Lepisosteus oculatus: one gene and its partners. The protein of the gene in region 1 purifies or fractionates together with the protein of each later gene. This does not show direct contact. Links are inferred from orthologs where the notes say so. Each region holds a gene or a part of one and is shown on either strand. Other genes may lie near its edges. The genes, in order: serine/threonine-protein phosphatase 2A 55 kDa regulatory subunit B beta isoform, cct7 and ppp2cab.

Region 1 (7,388 bases):
CCTCAAAGAGGAGTTTCCGTTCTACAAATGCCAAGCACTCCGCGGGTCTGTCTCTTCCAGCCTAACCTCCTTTCGATTCCTTGCTTCATCAAATCAAACTTCTCTATTTTATTTGATGACTCCCCAGCTAGAATTTTTTTTTCTGGCCCATCAAATCACTGCACAGCAATGACCACCTAATCTAATAAGCCTTCTTGTCTTGTGCCTTATTGATTCACCTGAAACACCTAAAAATATACATATCCACTAGTATGCATACACAAGGCCATAATTGTCCATTTTACAATCAGCCAGAGAGCATCATGCTTGTCCAACAATCTTATTTATTGCATCCCTTCCACTGGCATTTACATCTGCAAAAGAACTACAACGACTGACAGTTTGACTGTTAGAGAACTGAGGATCAGAGGAGTCAATATGTCTATAGTTCCCCCATTTTACCTCTCTAAACTGTAGCAATTCCGCACCATCTCTCAATGCTTGAGTAAGTTCTCTTTAAACATGTTCACTCATTTACAGGTTTCAGCTCATCACACAGCTCCTGGAATCCATCTCCCAGCATTCCGTTTGTCTGGACACTTCGCCTGACGTGCCCTCCCTCAGAGCCTCCTTCCTTTATTATCCTTACCAAACACGCCAAACTCTTTGCTTCCTAATCCTGCTTCCTTACTTCCTCCCACACCCCTAACAAAATCCCCACAGTTGAAACTTTTTCTTTACATGTCTTTATTGTAGAATTAACTTCTACATATACTTTTACCAATTCAACAAGCACTACTAAAAAAATGGAAAAAAAAGTCTTGAAGCCCATATTTAATCTTGCTTCAGGACTCCCATATAACTAATACCTGTAAAGATTCCTCACACTGTTTTGCTTAGATTCTTAAATGGTACTGCCATCGACAAATTCGTAAACATACGGTACCTGCATTAACATTAAATATTTAGCACTTGGGGAGAAAAGCAATGTAACAGTATTTTCCCCACATTGATTCAAAAGGTCTATTTTCATGGTTTGAGATTAAAATTAAGGCCTGCTTAAAGTTCTAGGAGCTTGAAAACTGTTATGAATTCCAGTGTAATCAGTGCATGAGCAACACTTTAATAAATCAACAAATAAATGTGAGAAATTGCTCAATTATATGGTTTACATTGTACTAAAATGAACCGAATAGGATCTTTTTTAGCCTAAAAAAAGGCAGACCCAAAACATAATTTAAGAATCCATTTCAGAAATTATAGTTCAGTCAATACTTGCAAACAAAAGGTCACTTTCAGGCTGGGTATCCAATATTACATGACAAGCTGGGGTCAAAAACGTAATTATAAATGTTCTCATGGGGCTGACTCCTGTAAGCTACATTAGAAATCATATATGTGGTAGCATGTTTCTGTACTTCACATATACTACATTATATAGATTATGAGTCTACAACATAGCATATGTTTTTCTTTCCTTAAACTCCAATTTCCTGGCTGGCCACATTTTTCTGAATACATTTAGCCTGGTTAACAGTCATGCTCGACTCTCTGAGACTGTAAATGAAGCCTCACCTTGTTCATGCACCAACTGGAGAGAACAGTTTGCAGAATTCCCGTTTTTTGCTGACTCACTACATCATTTTTCTCCGAGATAAAACCCTTGGCAGGCATTCCAATGTTAAACTCCCTCCCACAAACATTTAAATGTTTTGGTCTTGCTTTTTCTTGGCTTGTTATTTTAAATTAAGATCACCAATTATTGCATCTAGCACCATTTACCAGATTTAGACTCCCTGTTAGCCGTTATGTGTTCATTAAAGTGGAATAAACGGAACCTGCTGGCTGCCACTGAAATCACAAGATCTAAGGCCCTTAATCTGCAGCATTTGTAGCAAAAGCTATTACACTGCATCTGAAAAAAGGAAAAACTGCTTCTACAGTACATACATTTTCCTGCCAGCGTTCAACCTTCATCATCTAACAGCTTACAGAATCAAACAGATAATTGTACACTCTTATACTAAGGGTGACATAAGTCATAAAACCAACTAAAAACACAGCCTTGGGGTTGCTAATCCTACACGTCACGACTAACTACAAAAATGGTACGCATGATAAAAATATAAAAACTAAGCAATACACCTGTGTGCCAAAAGAGATCCCCATGAGTAAATACAGTGAAATATGCTAGCTGAATTGCCACTGATAGCACAACTCATTCTGTTATAAATCATTCACACAGCATTCAGCATCTACAGGATCTAAGAATGTCCATTTAAAATTATAATTGTACCCTACAGTAGAAAATAGTGGAGGCCACAGCAACAGAGAATCTTGCACTGTCAGAGAGATTTTATGCTTTCCATAAATATTATTTGTAGGTGATTGAACAAATCATTTTTCTCTGGTTTTCATTATTAGTAATCAACTGAGATACACCCTTCATCAAGTGCATCTGTGATTTTCGATCATTCTAATTAGAGGAGCAGCTGAGCTAAAAATAAATGAATAATCATCTCCAACAAGGAGTCCACCTGATGAATTCGCACACCTTTATACAAATCGTTTATTCTTCTGGTGCACTGGATCAGCAATGTCACTACAGGCAAAAAGGATGGATTCTCTGTTCCTCTGAAAAGTTCGTCAGATATTTACTGCTGGTGAAGACCTCTTATCTGTACAGCTAATTAGACGTTAGGGAGATGCAGGTCAGGTTTCTAAGTAATGTGCAGAATAAACTAGAATACGGCTGCTACCCATTGCTAAGAACAAGCAAAAAAATCCTTATAGGAAACATCTGATTTCAAAGTTTAAAATAACCTAAACGCATACATTAGTATATAATAATCTCAGCTAGCAAGCAGCTTCTCATTTAAGCGAGCATTAGAAAACACATGCAACACTACCTTCAGTCACATAGTTGTGGTCTCGGAGAAAGCTGTGGTTGATTTTTCGGGTGTCAATGTCCTCGCCCATTTACAGCAGGATTACTCAGCATGCCCATCCGCAGTGGACTAATCGAATCCGTAGGCTTCCTCACAAGAGCACCATCCATGCTGCCACTGCCTAGCAGAGGCGGAGAACTGCCAGGGGTTCAGAGGATAGCATAATGAGAGCCAAAAGACGAGATGCGGCACAGACTTGTGGTGCAGCTGAGATGTTTGAAGGAGAGGAAGAGAAAAATTGGGGGACAACACACATACACACACACACACAACCCCCGCACCCCTCACACCCACTCACACAGAAGGCATAAAAAGCTTAGCTGGTACAGCAAACTGGCAAGAAAAAAATAGAAGAAGAAAACAGGAGATGGTCCCTTCTGTGGCTTCCCCCCCCCAACTCTATAGAGCTGCAGCAGCACTCCTGTGGTTTGAAGAAACACGCTAGTCCTTTTAGTCAGGTACTCCTTAAACAAGCCCCCATGCAGAGCTGGCTCCTCGTGCTTGCTGCAGCAGGATCTCAAAGGATTTGTGCTGGAAGGAGAGGGTAATGAGTGTGGCTGCTTGTTTGCTTGCAGGCTTGCTGGTGCAGTGTGAAACGGTGTGCGTGTGTGTGCATGCGCGCGCGTGAGAGGAGAAAGAGCGAGAGAGAGAAGCGAGTGTGAGTACTGCTGCTGCTGCCTGCCACTGCTACTGCTGTCATAGGCCTCTGCTGCATCAGAGTAGGCTCCTCCCAGCTTAGCCTATGAGCAGCTAGCCATGATCTGCATTTCCAGAGACTGCAGGTGATTAAAGCTGCACTCTGGGAGGCAGGAGAAGCAGAGGGGAAAACTCTCTGTGCAGCTCTGCTTTGAAATACATCACGTTACTTCTCCTACTGCAGCAAAACAACAAATGTTTCAAAGATTCTGCCTTTAATTACTGTAAGGCTGCAGCAGTAGCCCCCAACTGATACCAGCTGCTGAAAGTGACATGTCATATGGCTCAAATCCTTTATGATTACAATATAGAAATATAGGCAGATAAGAAATATACCTCCTTTCCAGTGGATAAGAATACTAAAAGAGAACGTCTGTAGCACTGGTTTGTAAACAACTGCCAGGAAGATGATGCACATTAATCTGAGTCTCCTAAATGAAGGAGTCTCCAGCCTCATAGAGTCTAGTGTCACTGTGTGAAGAAGAGTAATGGACTAGTTTTCACCAACAAAGAGTCCAGAAAATATGACTAACAGTAATCCCTTAATGGTGTTGGAAATAATTCAGCCTAACTCTCTACAGAGATATACCCGAGGATTCCACTAGGCTTCAAACCAAAAGCACAAAAAAACAATTAATAAACATCTTATTAAGGCCTTTTACAAATATAAAAATTACAGTTCCAAGAGATTTCAAAGGGATCCATGCATGTGCCATTATGAAATAGAGCAGTAATAAGGAATGTGGCAGTAGATTTTCAGTAACACAGATGTTAATTGCAACGAAAGAATTTCTAAGGATTAGTGTTTCCATTAATGAACTCAAAGAAGCTATTCTGATAATGTAGTAAAACAAGATCAGTATCCTATGGATTGTGACCTATATGTGACTGTTCTACAAACTAGATATACAGTAGCTCTCATAAGTAACAAAGTTATCACAAATTCCCAAACATTTAAAGTTACGTAAAACATAGACTAACAAATAACAGAAATAGTGATGTTATTTTATATCCACCCATTTTCTGGTATTCTTATTGATTTTATTCCTAAATCTGTGTTTCAATGGGACAAGTAATTTTTTAGGTAATTTGTCATCTGAAATCTTTAGCTGTGTATAAACAGTTGTATTTATTTTTCAATATCATCCTCCAATCTTGAATCGGGCCGAGTGTAAAGCTACTTAAAATGGCAAAATTAAATAAAACGATGAGTTAGCATTCTTTTCAGTCAGAAGGGACTGCAAACAAAAAAAATAACTTTAGCGTTTAAAAAAAAAGATTTCTCAGAAATAAATAACTGAACTAGCTGTGGCAAATAGCCTGCTCTCATTGTAAATATTTTTTTTTACAAAAGTGGGTCAAAGTACTGGTGTGGTCACCTTTTAGCCTTTTACAGATGGTGAATAGGTGAAGATATGTATGCTTAACATAGCTAAGAGCTATTTGGCAAATTCTCCCAAGAAGACAAAAACTTGTAGCAGATATGGTCTTTACCTGCAGAATGTTCATGATATAAATAGCTGATCATATTGATATTGACAAACAGTAGAAGGGTTGTGAGTATCCAGGACTTTTGATGAACAGCAATGAAAGCTGGCGGTCCTGAGGTGATGTTTTAGCTTGCTTTGGCGTTTGCATTAAACAGTTCAAGAAACGAAAGGTGCCTCCTGAACTCAGACTATGATTGACTTCTCAGGTTATTTTGTGTACATTTAGGTCATTTCAGCCCCACTGACTGATAAACTTCAAAGTCAAGGAAACATCATCCTGTCTGCACCAAGCAGCTTTTGTATTTGAATACAAATTGAAAGTGTACTTCAGAAGACTTCTATACTGGCAGACTCATTCACTTTGAGACACTGCGACTATGTCAAGATTCTTGCTTAGTACAGTATCCCTGCAACAAGCCTAGTTTACAAAGCTAGTGTGTCTTACACCTGATCTACTGTCATTCAAGTCACATTATGTAGGCTTGTACAGAAAGCTCATTGTTCAAGGTCATGATTCACCTCCCATGTAGACCCAGTGGAAGCACTGGGCTTGAATGTCATTCTGGACATTTCCTCTAGAGATTTAGAGCTAGTAGTTGCAGATGCTAAGAAGCTGGAAACGGGATGAAAAGTTCCCTTCCTTAATTCAAGCTTGGAAAGCTTTGCTTGTCAATTCTCAGAACAGGCAAACCTGCACAAATGGACTGACTGGACGGATTATATGAACTTGGAACTTTCGTATACATGTAACACAATGTGCAATGTTGGTTTTAGTCTGTAAATGATGCCTGGCCCCTGTGTGTGTGAACAGGTAACCTCCATTCAAAACTATCTCCTCTCAAGACTAACAAAGCCTGCACAAGTTATGAACCAGACTTCAAAGAAATTAATAAAACAATTCAGTAGCAGAAGCTGCATTAGACATGCAATGTAAGCACATTACTGACTTTAAATGATTTTTTCTGGCATTTCTAAACAAAGCCATTGTCGACTCCTTTAGTAAAGCAATGTGGCGGGAAGGTTGCTGGTGAATAGACCTTTAGATTTATAAATGTTTTAGCATAAATAAACCTTTATTAACCCAGATAAGTCAAGTGAGATCAACGTCTCATTTACAGTAAAAACCTGGAAGGTAACACCGTAGAGAGAGCAGAAACAGTGCCTGTCTGCATTTTTATTTCAATCAATTGCTGCTTTTTCCCCCACTATGGCATTAATCTTGACACCCACATCTAAAACTCAAACAGGGTCCCAGTAGCCCTAGATTCTTCACCTATGCCAGTTGTGATAGCCAGACAGGATTCTCAAAGCACAAAGCATTTTGAAATTGAGATCTGATGCTCTTGCAGAAACACCTGAACTTCCAAAGGCAATTTAAATAACGGTGTGAGCCCCTTTGCTTCCAAGTGCAGCAGGAGCCGTGTACTGCTACTACCCATTTCACTGAAGAGGACACTTAGAATTAGCAAATTCACAGGCCTTGCTTTAAAGAGACACACCACTTTCACTGCACTGTCTAACACAGCCTGCCAAGGCCGCTCGATGGGTGCACCAGCGAGTCCTTTTTATTTTGGGAACAACTTTGTATATACGAACTACCACACTGCTGTGTTGTCCTAACTTAACTCTGGCACTGTCCATACAAACTCTAACACAGCATTGCCAGTCAATACTGTGAGCCTCAATTAACCTAATCATTATGTGCCAAGTGCATCTTGTTTCTAGATGTTGCTGAAGATTTGGCTTGCAGGATGCCACGCACTGATATCAAGGACTTTCCTCTTCCACTCTCAAATTCATATAGGTTGTATAATTCTTTCTAAAGTTTTATGTACATTGGCGCTATAACTGGTTTCATCATTATCCATGAGCACCATTACCATTAATGTTACATTACAGAAGCTTGATTAGATGTGCTAGCATCTTCCCAGCAATCAGCATTTTGAATGTTTATCTTTTTTTATGCTCTTTCTTTTAAGCCACAAACTTAATAAGCTTAAACTTCAGATTCCATGTAACATGGTTCTACATCATTATTTCAAGAAGGTAGTAATCTAGGTTTATCTCGGCTTATGTAACATCCATCCAATAGCACCAAAATTCCATCCATCTATATTCTAACCATTTCTTCCAATTCAGGGTCATGCCTTAGGGCAAACAACAGACACAAGGCAGGGCATTGAAAAATACATGAAATTATCAAACAGTGTAAAAATATAATAATGTATGAAGCACAGTGACCCAGGAGTATTTAAAATAGCTGAGAATCTAGCTT
Region 2 (7,388 bases), on another chromosome or scaffold:
GACGGGCCTGTTAGCCTGTTGTTCAGCGAGGAAATGTCCCCGGCCTGGTTCTGCTGAATGGAAAACTCAGGTCACCCCCCCAGACGAGACTGGTCTAGGTGAAATCGGCAGTGGCGAGGAGTGGTTAGGACTCAACTGGAAACTGGAAGTTTCCGAAACTTAATCTCAAATTAGAACTGCTGCTGCAGGGCTCTTAATCCACTCTGACTGTTTGGAATCAGTTCAGAGAGAGCCCCTGAGTGCAATCTGGAAATAAACGAAACTCACTGCTTATCATCTTTCTTCACAGTGACGGCGATTTCTTCGGTCTTTTTCACAGCCTGAAGAGAGAAAAAGACAAGCCTTCAGAGTTCAGAGCACGGTCTGGCCAACAAGTCTAGCAGGCGGTACAGCAGGAGACATCAGCTCTTATACTAGCGATTCCCACATTCTACCAACACGTGCTCCTGCTTCCTTCAGCCACAGATACCAACTCGGACCTTTTGCAGGGCTGAAAAGGGCAGCTCAAGCCACCGTGTAGGTCTAGGACAGAGGTCTCCAGCATCAGACACATGTAACAGCTTTGCGGTCCTCAATTTCAGCTGAGGGCAATTTAAGAGCCCATTTCAAACCAGCCTGTGCAACTACCAGGCCTCTCAACTGAGCAGCTCACACCCTGAATGCACAAACAAGGTGGTGTCGCCAGTCTTGGAAACTGGATCGGGGGGCCCCCAGGAGCGAGGGAAGAGATCCCAGGTCCTGATGAACTGATTAAACTGAAAACGCCTGGAGAGTCACGACCTGCTCCTCAGCGCCCCTTACTGGTCACATGGAGGTTTGAGCTCCAGAACGAACCCCACCAGGCTGAGAGGGAAAGCCCCCTCCAGAAGCAGTGGGAAAGTCTCTGGAAGGGGGTGGGGTGGGGGCACGTACCAGCTGGGTGGCGGTGCGGAAGGCACGGATGATGATCTGGGGGTGCAGCCCCTCCTCCACGTAGGACTTCACCTGCTTCAGGAACTCCGCTGCCAGCAGGGTCACAGAGGTCGTGCCGTCGCCCACCTGGAGAGACAGGGACCGAGTCAGGAGCGCCGGGGGAGCAAGAGGAGGAGAAGTAAAGCTGACAAAGCACCGGCTTTTGATCTAGATCGTTTCCGAAGTCTGCACGCAGCACGAAAAGGCGAGCTGGGATCACACGACAGGGCTATTTATGATTAAATTAAACCATTGTGACTTCTGCTGCTCTGTAGGACGCTCAATGGCCAAAACCTTGTGTCTGTTCTCTTTGCTTTTCAGCGTGGAACCAACCTGTGCATGTTTTCTGAAATGCAGGGAACTGTCACAGAGCTTTGTTTAAAAAGTAGCCCACCTTCGCTTCTTGCTAGCCCACCCAGAGGGAGACTGCTTGAGTCTCTGAACACAGACCAACTCCCGGACCTCGTAGGGTCAACAGGGAGGCGTTCGACGGACACTCACCTCGGCATCCTGGGACTTGGCGATGTCCACCAGGGTCTTGGCGGCTGGGTGAACCACATCCAGGAGCTTCAGAATGGTGGCGCCGTCATTGGAGATGGTAGCTTTCCCTACAGGAGGAAGAAAAATATCACGGGATACCGTTAGCCAGCTGCTACCAGCTAGCCCCACATGACCTACTGGAAGAACACTCAGAAATACGATTTCTGGGCCAGGACTGCTGCAGTGCACGTTCCTCACAGCCAGGCAAGACACACTGAACAGTTTCTCCGCATGCAAACTGGCGTCGTCACCCTGAAGCCGCCAACAGAGAAGTGTGCAGCTCAGATCTCCACCCTGCGTGGACTTGATCTGGACAGGATGCATTTCTGTTTCAATACAGGTTTATTATTTCAGACAGTGGTCTACGCTGCATAAGGCAATACCTTGGTCACCTAAAGCCATCAGAAATAAGAACAGATAAAATTTTAAACAGATATGGATTCAAAAGTACAAGAAAATAGTTATGGCTGTGCAGCACTTAACTTTCGATATCTGAATCTTGGTTTTAATTTGATTAAAACAGTCTAGTTAATCCACAAGTTACTTTGCTATTTTATTGCAGAATACTATCTTTAGTATATGATCTATTCATGTGAGATGAGCAGGACAGGAGCCCATTGCCACTTGGGTGCATAACGGTACACAAGCTCGTGCCTCATCACTTCTAAGGACGACGTGGAGTGGGAGTGATAAGAATGCTAGAATTAAGGCGCTCCACAGAACAGAAAATGACAAGATCAGCTATTTTCAGGGGCTCAAGAAGTTGTACACGACAGGCTGATGAAGCCGAGCCTTTCAAGTACAGAACAGAACAATTAGGGGACCTGATACAACCCTTAAGGGCCCTGACAATGGCAACCCAGCGGACACCAGTGAAATTTTCAGGGAACAGCATTGAAAACTGAGGGGGGAGGGGGGGGGGGGGGGGGGCTTCTTTACACAAAGGGTGGTAGGAGTGTGGAACAAGCTGTCTAGCCATGTTGTTCAAGCCAATAACCTGGCTTCTTTCAAGACACAGCTAAAAGAGATTGTCCAGGCGGGATGGGAGGCACTTGTTTACACAAAGGGTGGTAGGAGTGCAGAACAAGCTGTCTAGCCACGTTATCAACACGAGCACCTCTTGGAGGCAGCCAGGGTAAGAGACCCTCGGATCACTGTCAAACGGGCTAGGGGGGGGTCTCCCTCTGGCCATTGCCCCGAGAGCAGGCGGCGGGGCTCACCTCTGCTGTCCACCATGAGCTTGTCCATGCCGCGTGGCCCCAGGGTGGTGCGCACGGCCTCGGAGATGACCTGGCAGGCGTTGATGTTGCTGACGAGCTGGGGGACGCCCTGGGAGGTGTCCGTCCCCTCTTTCAGCAGGATCACTGGTGTGGGCTGCGGAGCAAGAGGGGGGACTGTCACCACGGCGACTTGCCAGAACCCCACTGCGGCCAAACTCGCCGAGCACGACAATGGAACCTCACCAAAGTGCTGAAGCGTAACAGGACTACACCAACATTAAGACTGTGTATGTTTGTAATTCCCTGCTGCAGAGCAGCGAAGACTTGCTTTGCATTATGCAGATTAGGAAGAGAGAAAAAGACAAGCCTGTGGGGAAGAATACAAAGCATTCAACTGAATATTTCTGCAATCACTGTAGCCTTGGTGCAACAATCTCTTTTCTATGGGAGCTGCATCGATTGCCAATCCGGATCCATCTTGTGACTTCCTCCCGAGGACATTACTAAGGTTTTCTCCAGTGATGGGACTGGAACCAGCCCTGTGCTGTAACCTAGCAACAGACACCAGCAGCGATATTTCAGCAAGAAGGAGGTGAACACTTCTTGTGATATTCTGCACCAAGCACGAGGTGACCTACTGGCCACACCTGGGACTTGATGGCACACAAAGAATAAAGGAGAGAGCTCTTTTTATTCTATTTGAGGCAGGCAGAAAGGCACAGCTCCCTGTTGTGAGGAGGTAGTGTCTCCAGAGGCCTCTGAAATAAGATCATTAGAACTACTGTTACAGCCCAGGGGGGTTCTCTAGCCCTGATCCAGCCAGTCCAGGGCTGGTCCTGTAGAGCCACACTCTTGCCTTTAAATCAGTCTCTATGAAGTCTCATCTCTGAAGTCCATAAATACTGGAAGTTAACTGCCATCAACTCAACAGGCAATGTGTTCAATTAAGTCAGGTGGAGATCACTAGGGACAAAAACATCAATAGCTTTCACCGGGCGATTTAGGGTGACCTAAACGAATAGCTGGATTGGGGCTCCCTGGGACTAGGGGGGGGGACCCCCTCAAGGAGGGGAACAGCCATTGTCCATCACTTATTTTGCAGAATTAAAAAAAAACTGCAGCTGCACCAAACCAGGAGACTTCAATGATTTTTTTAGGCAAAATATTCAACACTGCACAAAAGGAGAGCACTTCAGCCCCTCCCTCGGTACTGTAATCGGTTACTGTGCACACGGTTCAGCACACGGAGGGCTGGACTGAAACACACAGACAGAAACCTCCTTTGATAAAGGTTCGGTTTTGTTTTTTTTTTACCGTAACTAGAGACAGTAGTTCAACAGGGCCCAAACTGTCATGTCTCAGGCCTACCGAAGACTGTCAGAGGACTGGCGCGGCGAATCGGTGCATTTCTCTCTCCCACAACACGATTAAAGACGGGAAACCCGCGGTAACACATGGGACTCCGATCCCGGAACAAAAAAGACAAACACGGTTTTCAACAAACAAGCAGCTTTTCTGTTTCAGCCAGCGGCGCTTCTGAGTCGAGCGACAATGACAAGGCAGCACCCCCACTGAAAGAGACGGAGACCGTAACCACGAGAAATCCAAACAAACAAATTGAACGCGATCATCCTTCTTCCACGACCGATACTGCCGGTTCTTAAGAGAAGGGGGTCTGCTTCGTCGAACCACCCGTGCGGTTCGATATTCTAGAGATGGGTGACAGATGGATGAAAGCGGGTTGCAAAGGGAGGGTAAATCCATTCACTCACCATCATCTTGTCGGCTCTGTCGCTACGCTCAAGCCGGTCGGAAGCTCCCACAATGCACCTCGACGGAGGAAGTTTCCAGCAAGAGGGAGGGGCGTAGTACCAACGCCTTGGCCTTACTGGGCGACGCACACCTCCTCCGTGGGCGTGGTTCGGGATGAAGCCTGTGTGTGATTGGGCTGTTCGAGAGAGGGCGGTGCGAGGGTTGTGGGAGGGGGTGGAGTTAAGGCTTGAGCGCCTTGAATGGGCGCTGCACTGTCTTCCTTGATCTTAACGGACGCTTTAGTCCGAGTTACAGTTTATCGAAAATAAACCACGAACTGTAAAAAACAAAAACAAATAACGGTGCAAAAAGCATTAAATTAGACTGATATACGATGAAAGTAATGATTAGTACAATAAAACAAACTTAATACAAAACCAACACCGATAAATATCGAAAAGAACGGATATATTATTATTATTATTATTATTATTATTATTATTATTATTATTATTATTATTATTACATTATTGGGTGGAAAAAGCCTGAAAAAGTGCAATAAACAATAACTCAAACGCAAGGCATAAAGATAGGAATTCAGGGTTGAATTTAAAGATAAGGACAGATGCGCTTTTATATTTAGAAGATCCCTCTGAACTCGGGATAGCGATAACAATAGCGACCACACAAAAACACACCAGGAAGCTGGACTTGCTGGTATTCATAGCGCAGATGTTTGGTTTTTTTCTTCACTGGGTAGCTTGTTGACCTAGGAGGAGATAACTAAAAAAAGGGAACACGTAGGTCCATGCAATAATTAACCATTGCTATGTTCTAGAGAAATCTGGTTGTAAGGGGGCTCGACATCGCAGTGATGAAAAAAATGAAAGATGCTTCTACAAATAAAGGACCGGAATATTGGGCTCCCCGAAAGTTTAGAATACCGTGTCTGTGAGGTTTTCCTCCATTTTCAAAGCGATTATTCTAGTCAGGGGCTCAGGGGAGCCAGAGCATATCCCAGCAGGCTATGGGCACAAGACACCATGCCTGTCCATCACGGGGAAGACTATGCGTTTTTGGACAGTGGGAGAAAACTCCAACATAAATGACGGGGGAACATGCAAACTCCACACAGACAGCACCCCGGGTCCGGAATTAAACCCAGGGCCCCAGCACTGCGCAACAGCGATGCTACCCACTGCCCCACTCACTGAGGAATCTCAGACAGCTATCTTAGCAACACTAGAGTGTTGAATTACAAGTCATATGGGGACAGTGTCCTTAGGGGCGTGAATATGGATTTCCCACTGCAAGCAGGGTAGCTGCGACAGCATGTGCAGGCTGCAAAGGAACATTCCCTGCTGAGAAGAGAAGAAACACAACGTTTCGGCTGTGGAGCCTTCTTCTGGTGTGAGGAAGGCCTGATGAAGCCCCACCTGAAGAAGGCTCCACAGCCGAAATGTTTTTCTTTTCAGTTTGGAACTAACCTTCACCTGTTTCTCACTACAATATAAGTATTGAATACACTATACAATATACAGAGTGGACACTATACTGTAAAAAGGCCATCTTGCTTTGGATGAGATTTAAAACCGAGGTCCTGACTCTCTGTGGCCATTAAAAATCCCTGGGCATTTCTCAATCTCCTTTACCAATCATGGCCTCCTAATAACCCCCCTCTCTGAACTGGCTTCATCACTCTGCTCTCCTCCCCACTGAGAGCCGGTGTGTGGGGAGAGTACTGGAGCATCATCCAGGTGGGGCTGCACACTGGTGGTGGAGGGATTATTTTTAACTATTAATGCTCAGAAACGTGCCAGAGATTGTTATATCCGATCTTAGTGAAATCTGCTCTTATTTACAGTGGAATAGGTGACTGTAGTGTAACTCTCACCATCAAGTGGACTAATGAGTGAATGAATGTAGGAATAATAATAATTGCTTACACTTATCTGGTGCTTTTCTGGACTCTCCACTCAAAGCGCTTTACAGGTAAGAAGGATCCCCTCCACCACCAGTGTGCAGCCCCACCTGGATGATGCTCCAGTACTCTCACCACACACCAGCTCTCAGTGGGGAGGAGAGCAGAGTGATGAAGCCAGTTCAGATAGGGGGATTATTAGGAGGCCATGATTGATAAAGGCAAGGTAGAAACACTCTGGGATTTTTAATGACCATGGAGAGTGAAGATCTTGGTTTTACAGCTCACATGAAGGACAGTACCTGTTTACAGTCTAGTGTCCCCGTCACTGTACTGGGGCATTAGGAACCACACAGGCCACAGGGTGAGCGCCCCCTACTGGTCCACTAACACCTCTTCCAGCAGCAGCCTTAGCTTTCCCAGGAGACTTCCATCCAGGTACAGGCCAGGCTCACACCCGCTGAGCTCCACTGGGCTGCTAGCTGGGAGCTGCAGGGGGATATGGCCCTTGCCCTTTTTCAAAACATTTAGCTGTCAGTCCCCTTTTCTCAGAAAGTAAAAATACCGTGGCCTTTGCAAAAGATGAGCTAGGGACACAGCCTGCCACCCCTCACCAGGGCCAGGCTGAGGTGCAGGCTCCCTGAAGGGAAGAGAAGTCAAGAGGATACCGTCCACCCTGTGCCCGCTAACCACAAAACTGTGACACCACTACCCCTCCCCGCCTAGCACAAAGCCACAGCAGGAACTCACCCACCTGCAGAAAATTAAACTGGGAGACAGGAAAGACTTCAAGAGAGAGGACGCCCTGTGGTCCATCTACCCCTTTAAAACCTCGAGTTCCACACTCCCACCACTCTGAGAAAGATGCCAACAGCCCTTGCATTAGGGCATTAGGACCAACTTAGGGGTCCTAATGCCCCAGTACAGTGATGGGACCACTTTATTGTACAAAGGCACCGTCCTTTGGATGAGATATCAAACTGAGGTCCTGATTCTTTGGGGTC
Region 3 (7,388 bases), on another chromosome or scaffold:
TTCAAACAATTGTTTAAGATGTCACACAAGAACAACACTTCCTACAGCCGTGTCACAGCTTCCATACTAGGACGGTGATTTGGAAATTCAGGTACCAGTTCTCTTTAGAGGTCTATCGCAGTACTCAGCAGACTTTGCTTGCTTAGCTTCTGAGCTTCAAAACGAACATGAAATAAGGTTTTAATACTGCCTTTTCTCCTATATCTTTCCCAGCAGAAATTGCTTCTACTTGACATTTTAGTGTTGGATTATACAATGGGCGTGATGCTTCAGAAGTCATTGGACTCTCTTGTACAATATATCTTACTTTTGGTAGAAATACACACTTATGTACTTTAAAGGGGAACTGCAATGTTATTTTATTCTGGAGTTAGAAAGAATCTGCATTGAGTGCATTTTAAACTACAATGAAATTAAAATGAGCATTAAGAGTCAAATTTCCATCACGAAATAGATCATGACCTCAAGCTTCTCTCCCCGTCTGTGTGTCTCATGGAGAGCAAGCTGGGGTACGCGAAAACAAATTCCTAATTGAAGAAATTGTAAAGGGTTAATAAAGTGTTGTTATTTCCAGGTATAAGCAGTTCCCTATTTTGCGATTCAGAACGAGGCAACCAAACTTCCGGTGAAGTGAAGCAGCCCTACTTTCTGGTAAACAAACAGGCTTGCAAAGACATCTCTTTAAATTGAATACAAATATTGCTCTCAACTTCGAGAGAGTTTTGCCGACAAATACAACTTAATTGTTAACTCAACATTCAGATCACATTGAAACACTTCTGCGGTGAAATCTCTGCTACACATGCACTTATTTGCTCATACATCACATTAGTCATTGCAGGGACTAGTAATCAGGAAGGGTTGCTTCACGTTGCAATTTGCACAAACTTGCTCTCATCCATGGTGAAACCAGGGCTGTACACAACACGGCGATAACACAGTACTTTCACCAAGTTCACAATTTGATAACAATTTGAATTTTGATAACATTAATTTCCAAGATTTACTAACCAGCCTGAGAAATTGGGACTGCAGTCCCCTTTTAAGGTAAAAGTCCTATTATTTATTCCCATTATCCTGTCTCAGAGATCTGTAATTGTTCAGTGTTACCTGGGCATGTTTCCTCTGAGAAAGACCTTGTTTGATAGGTGACCAAGTTCCTTATGTATCAACCAACCATGGGTTATTTCAGCACATCCAAGAATAACTATTTTTTCCTAAACAGAGAACAAGTTTCTTAGAACAAGTAGTACACTGCTGAAAGAACTGGTCAACAGCTTATCTTTGCCAGCTTACCCTGAAGACCTATATGAAGCTTAACTATTAAACATGCAATCAGAGTACAAGAAATTGAAATACCTGGGTAAATGAGGGACATCAAGTAGACGGAAGCACATCTCATTTGTTAATTAGGCAAATAACACCACAGCATATTTAGGATCATGTATAAAAGTGCTGGACAGGCCAGGTTGCCAAGTTAAGTATGATTGGACTGTCTACAAGAAGAGATCTAAGTGAATTTGAAAAGGCCGCAATGTATAGTGTCTACACCCAGAAGGCTGTCTTCCGGGATGATAAATGCCCCCATCCACAGACCATGTGCAGTTTTAATGAACATGACACTACTGTCATCCATATATCATGGCCTTCTCAGTCACCATATCTGAGCCCAACCAAGCATTTATGGGAAATTCTGAGACAGCATTTTCCACCTCCATCAACCAATTTCACGGTCTTGTGGAAGAATGGTTCTGCACAAACTTCCTGCAGAATTCCAGAAGCAAGCAGACTCAATGCCATGGAGCATAAAGGTGGTACTGGCCACTCATGGTGGCTTAACATGTTATTAAGTAACTTTACATAGTTATTTCCATTTTTCCCTACATATACAATAGCAATATATGAACTTAAAAAAATGTACTTTAGTCTAAGGTCCAAACCCAAATTTGTTGTCTAATTTTATAGCTACACATTGACTCTCCCTTGATAAAAAATGCAAGGGAAATAATTCTTTACTACATACCATGTTCTGGGAAGGGTAATTTTAAAAGACATTTTAAAGAAATGCCTTGTGCTGACAGTTAACTTTGACCCAGAACTAGACATTTAACTTTCACAAAAGTCACCTTACATGAAATCACCCACCTACAAAACCACTGAATCTCACTTGAAAGAGTACATGATAATAGCCAATAATAAGTATTTTAGCACTTTGTTTACATTGATGTTCCTCTGTGAAAGTAACTTAGATTAATTTGTAATCTCATGAATCTCATTAGTTTACCAGGAAGAAAGCACACAGCTTAAGAGCACTTTTCTTTTGATTTGGTACAGGAGTCTTTTGACAAGATACAAAATGTAAACCCAGAAGTTACTATATATAGTGGGAGTCCTCCCTATAGTCCACACAGACCTGCTTCCAAAACAGTTCATTTTTAACGTCTGGCAGTGTATGAAAAAGATTAACAATAAACGATCCCCTTTCAGTACTAACCATGATGCAGCCAAACCTAGTCTGGCCTACTCATTAGGAAATCCTCCATCCTCATCATTGTGTACATTAACATAACATTATGTTTTTTGACTATGGGTGGAAACTGGAGCAGCCGAAGGAAACCCACACAAACACAAGGAGAACATACAAACTCCATAGAGATAGAAGCTCAGGTCCAGAATTGAACCAAGGGCCTGAGCGCTGCAATGCTAACCACTGTGCCATCATGCCAAGACATAATACAACAAGCTTAATTTGCATTAAACCTGTACCAGATGCCAAGTTCAACTCTCCTCTCATTGAGCTTTGCCTCCGCGACTTGGGTGCATTTAACAAATAGAGCCATGCTCCACAAGGAATGCTTAGAAATGTCACTATCTGGGTAATAAGAACACAGAATTCCAATTTAGAGGAACATTCACTTGAAACTAAGTTTATAGTTCTTCTCGATATATATAATTGAAACAACAAAACATTTGTGAAAGTCCTGTGTACAAAAAATAGTTAAAAATATATCAAAGATTCAAGACACTTAACTGACTGACAGCTCACTGGAAATGAAAACCAGAAGAGACAGGAGTACTTCAGGATCAGGGATGGAAAACGACTCTCAAGGGTCCAAAAACCTTATGGGTAACTTTACTGTAACAATGCACAACCTAAACAGAGGGCACACCTGCACACATGAAGAAGGTTTCACAGTCAAACGTTGTGTTTTCGCTCTTCAGCATGGAATAAACCTATTACTTGTTCCTTTGCATGCTGACGCAGCTACCCACCAAGACAGGGGTCTTGTTTCGTTTAGTGGCGCTTCTTTCGGCTGTCCCCTTTATTCTGTCACAGTGATCATCACTTCATAACTCTCACATTTGAGAACAGCCCTACAAAACGTTGAGTTGTTTTACATACTAAAGAGCAGATCTTGACCACTACTACATATAAACTTAAAATACAAATGAAAAAAATAAAATCCATAATTTTACTATTTAATCTAGACAAAATACCAATCATTATTAATATACCTCTATTGAATTTAAAATCACCAAGGGCTAAAGGCGAGCTAATTCAACTTCCATGTGAGGCTACACTTAAGTCAGAAGTTGCCACTGTAAGCGTTGTTTTAAAAGTAAACACTACTCTGCCTTTCAGTACTTAAAAATATTCTGAGCAAGAAACAAAGCAAGGAAAGTTAAGAAAGAACGCCAGCTTCTAAAAACCACCGCTACAGCATTACACCGGAATACGGCGGCTCATCAAAAACAAAATACCTTAATAAACTGGGCCGAGGTCTCGTTGCTCGAATTTAGGGAACCTAGACAAAGTGCTTATCTGATAAAAACGCATAACTACTACGATAAATAGAGATCGTTTTTCGTATAGCTACGTTACCGGACAACACAGTTAGCCTGCACGGCTTTCGGAGTCTGCTATGTGTAACTATCGGCGCCATTTTAGGAATGTACTACAGCCCATCGCAAAAAGCAATCGGAAAGCGACGCATTCAATTTAACGCCGAATTTCACCGCTACAAACAATTCAGTGCCAAGATGTCCGCAGGCAGTTCGAAATATTAATCATTTAAACTACCTTTCTCCGGCAGCAGTGCTGTTTTTTCTATTTTAAAAGAAGTTCCTAAGTCAATGCATTTAACCTATATATCTTGCACCTTCAGAGCTGCTGCAGGCTTTAGATTAAGGTCTATTTCTCAGCTCAGTACTCTTGAATTATAAACTGTTAAATGCTTGAAATACCGCTTCAAATGAGCTTTTACGAATAATACCTCATTCATTTGAATCGGTAACCAATGGCAATCCACTCCGCCATCTTAACAAGCCGGTATATGCAGGGCAAGAGAGGACCCGCTCGAAACCCTCGACACCGTCCCGTCCATACACCTTTCCACCAGTTAAGATGGACATATTTCTGTGTTGTACTGAAGAAAGACAATAATTACCTTTTCGCAGAGAGTCTTGACTTGGCTTTCCGAAAGCTGCTTGCACTCGTTGAGTTGCTCAATCCATTGATCAAGTTCCTTCGTGAACGCCTTTTCGTCCATTTCTGAACGTTACCCTAAAAAAGATTAAGTATAAAACAGAAACGAAAAAAATAAAACGCCCTGCCCTATTGTTTTACAAACCCCGTTTACTCTGCGAGGGAAGGGAAAGACTCAGTCCCGGCAAGTGGGAATTATAATTATTAACTGAAGCAGATAAAAAAAGAAATACGAAGACGTCAGTCAACCGCTTTCCCACCCCTGCCTCTCCGGCTGCCTAATGGCCGTCCTGACGTCACGAACGACGCTGATCACTTCCGGTCCCAAAAGGAAGCAAACACAGTCCGCCTAAAACCGCACTGGGAGTGTGGTAAGCCTGTCTGCAGCGCTGTTGTGGGCAATGTTGCTGGTTTTGAGTACCGTGTTACACCCATACGCGCCATTCTTTGGAGGTGTTATAGCTCGGCTATCCGAAATACTGTAGCTGTTATAAAATAGATTGAATGCTATAGTCAGTACAGAAATACATGTACATTTACACTGTAAAATAATACACGTTTAGAAGGATAATGCCCTGTGTAAAAAACAGAGAATGTAATCTTAAAACAATAATATGTCATTTTATGTAGGACATTTAAAAGCAAACATTTAAAGCCCTTCACTCTATATAATTAGCACATCACAATTAAAATTGTGGAGCTCAATATGAAAGCAAATAAACAAGCACAAAAATCCTTTTTGAAAAAGATAACTTGCTGCTTACGATTTCAACAAAAAGCAGGGTTTTGACTGACAACGTCCTAATCCCCCTTATTCGCTTGAAAATCGGTCATGGCTTGTGAATGTTTTTTAAATCTTCTACAATCCATGAGTGTCAGACATTCGTTCTGAAGACAAGTTTCCATTCAATGTTAAAATGGATGTAATGGATGTAATGTTTCATTTTAATTATTATGTTAATCACCAAGACAATGATGTGTACAGCCGTCTTATACTGTTATAAGACATTTGTGTTAATGAATACGGTTGTATTTGAAGAAGGCTGCTTCAATATTAAGATATGAATTCAGTCTAGGTCCCAGATAGGCTTTTTCTTTTTACGCATTTAATGTGCGTCTTCAATTCTAAGGACTATTTCCTTTTTTTTTTTTCAAATTACCTGTTTTACTTCAAGTTACATTGATGGATTCCTATCACAATGTGCTGAATATAGAAGGACAGAAGACTATTTACCCAGCACCTGTAGAATGGTTGCCTTTACAAGGTGTAAAACATGCTGACATGCTGTTGAACTTTGGCTGTCAGCTGTAATTTGCTTGCATAACCTAGTTATTGGTCTATTACTGTTGTCATGTCTTACACGTTTCACGTTTACATCCGAAGGGTTGCAAAATATTTATATTTGAGAGTGAAAAAGTGCCTTTTAGAATATTTAAGCATTTGTCAAGTAAGTCAAGAAATAACAAAAAGGGAAAAAAGTACAGCCGTTTTGTTTCATGTGCTAAGCTTACTGTCCTAATATTGTTGAGTCTGTTTTGTATTACTTCCCTGCCCAATTGAGAGCTATGGTTAAGAGACGTTATGGCATCAGATGTACCAGCTTAGATTTTGTTGTTTTGTCCTGGTTGCATGATTATACGCAGCATTCCTGCCATAAATACAAAGTGGCTTGCTGTTGATTGTGTATCTTGTCACCTTCATAAATGCTGATGCTTACAGTAGGTCTGCCAGTTTCCAATTTATATGTGCGGAAAATTAAAAACCACACACATATATATATATACTGTACACAGTATCTTGCAATTATATTAATTTGCAATGAAATTAATAGGTCACACCATAAAGTAAGATATCTGAGAAAATTATATGGATTTTTCTGAGTATTAATATGTGATAGAAATATCTACATTTAAAAAGCTTTTGTAAGAGGATCTTCTGCAAATACATGTGCATTAGTAGTCACATTTATAGTTACCTTTATTTCACAGTAGAACACAAACAATGTGATCTTTAAATAGTCCAGTCACAATGACCATGTCACAGTGAGAAACCACAGCATTTCTCTCTGGTAACAGTGGTTCTGTTGGATGAAGTCATTTATTTAGAGCTTTTTTTAAAGTCTGGCCAGGTGACCACAACAATTAAAGCATTGACATTTCCCATGGAGATGAAGTCATTTATTATTCCTGTAAATAGCTGCCAAGAAAATAAATTTTGCTAGACTTCTTCACTGCAACATGAATCAGCAGGTTAAATACTAAAGAAAAACAAAGAACATTCCCATTTCTTTAAAAAGAGTGCCACAGCAGTAAATGACCTAATGGTGTACAAAAAAGAAGCAATCTAATTATTCATATTTTTAAGCATGGGATTATATTTATTTACATGAACATTATGTGAGCAAGGAAAATGATAAATTATTTGAAAAAAAGATTGAAGAAAAAAGATAGGAGCATTACTAAATGGCTCTGTGATTCTCTGCATATGTTAATATTGTATGAAAAACTTTATACAAAAAATACTGATCAGGACTATTTATTTTAACAATCAGTAATTAATCATCCATTAATCAATTTTCTAACCGCTTCTTCGAATTCAGGGTCTGGGGAGCTGGAGCCTATTCTAGCAGGCAACAGGCACAAGGCAGGGTACACCCTGGATGGGACACCAGTCCATCACAGGTCATACACTGACACCTAGTGCCAGTTTTCCCAGAAGCAAATTAACCTTCCTGTATGTTTTAGGACTATGGTAGGAAACCCACACTGACGCAGTGTATACATTCAAACACCAAGCAGATAGTACCCCAGGTCTGGAATTGAACCCAGGGCCATAGTGCTGTAGGGAAGTGATGATAACCACTGCACTACTGTGTGGCCCATTAATCATTTTTATTGTATT

Evidence for each region.
Region 2: the proteins of serine/threonine-protein phosphatase 2A 55 kDa regulatory subunit B beta isoform (region 1) and cct7 purify together in Homo sapiens (affinity purification with mass spectrometry; 4 studies listed by BioGRID and IntAct, counting the BioPlex papers as one, with this or other methods). This does not show direct contact. The link is inferred for Lepisosteus oculatus from reciprocal best matches to the Homo sapiens genes PPP2R2C and CCT7.
Region 3: the proteins of serine/threonine-protein phosphatase 2A 55 kDa regulatory subunit B beta isoform (region 1) and ppp2cab purify together in Homo sapiens (affinity purification with mass spectrometry; 6 studies listed by BioGRID and IntAct, counting the BioPlex papers as one, with this or other methods). This does not show direct contact. The link is inferred for Lepisosteus oculatus from reciprocal best matches to the Homo sapiens genes PPP2R2C and PPP2CA.

Annotation. Positions count from the first base shown.
Region 1 is NC_090696.1:42,685,787-42,693,174, reverse strand, and holds the start of serine/threonine-protein phosphatase 2A 55 kDa regulatory subunit B beta isoform, read right to left. Parts: upstream 3,630-7,388; 5' UTR 2,959-3,629; coding exon of another isoform or gene 2,889-2,958; intron 1-2,888. UniProt on the Homo sapiens protein: The B regulatory subunit might modulate substrate selectivity and catalytic activity, and might also direct the localization of the catalytic enzyme to a particular subcellular compartment.
Region 2 is NC_090699.1:10,569,540-10,576,927, reverse strand, and holds the start of cct7 (T-complex protein 1 subunit eta), read right to left. Parts: upstream 4,590-7,388; 5' UTR 4,490-4,589; coding exon 4,484-4,489; intron 2,866-4,483; coding exon 2,712-2,865; intron 1,560-2,711; coding exon 1,453-1,559; intron 1,039-1,452; coding exon 913-1,038; intron 321-912; coding exon 268-320; intron 1-267. UniProt on the Homo sapiens protein: Component of the chaperonin-containing T-complex (TRiC), a molecular chaperone complex that assists the folding of actin, tubulin and other proteins upon ATP hydrolysis.
Region 3 is NC_090706.1:23,922,817-23,930,204, reverse strand, and holds the start of ppp2cab (serine/threonine-protein phosphatase 2A catalytic subunit alpha isoform), read right to left. Parts: upstream 4,786-7,388; 5' UTR 4,551-4,785; coding exon 4,449-4,550; intron 1-4,448. UniProt on the Homo sapiens protein: Catalytic subunit of protein phosphatase 2A (PP2A), a serine/threonine phosphatase involved in the regulation of a wide variety of enzymes, signal transduction pathways, and cellular events.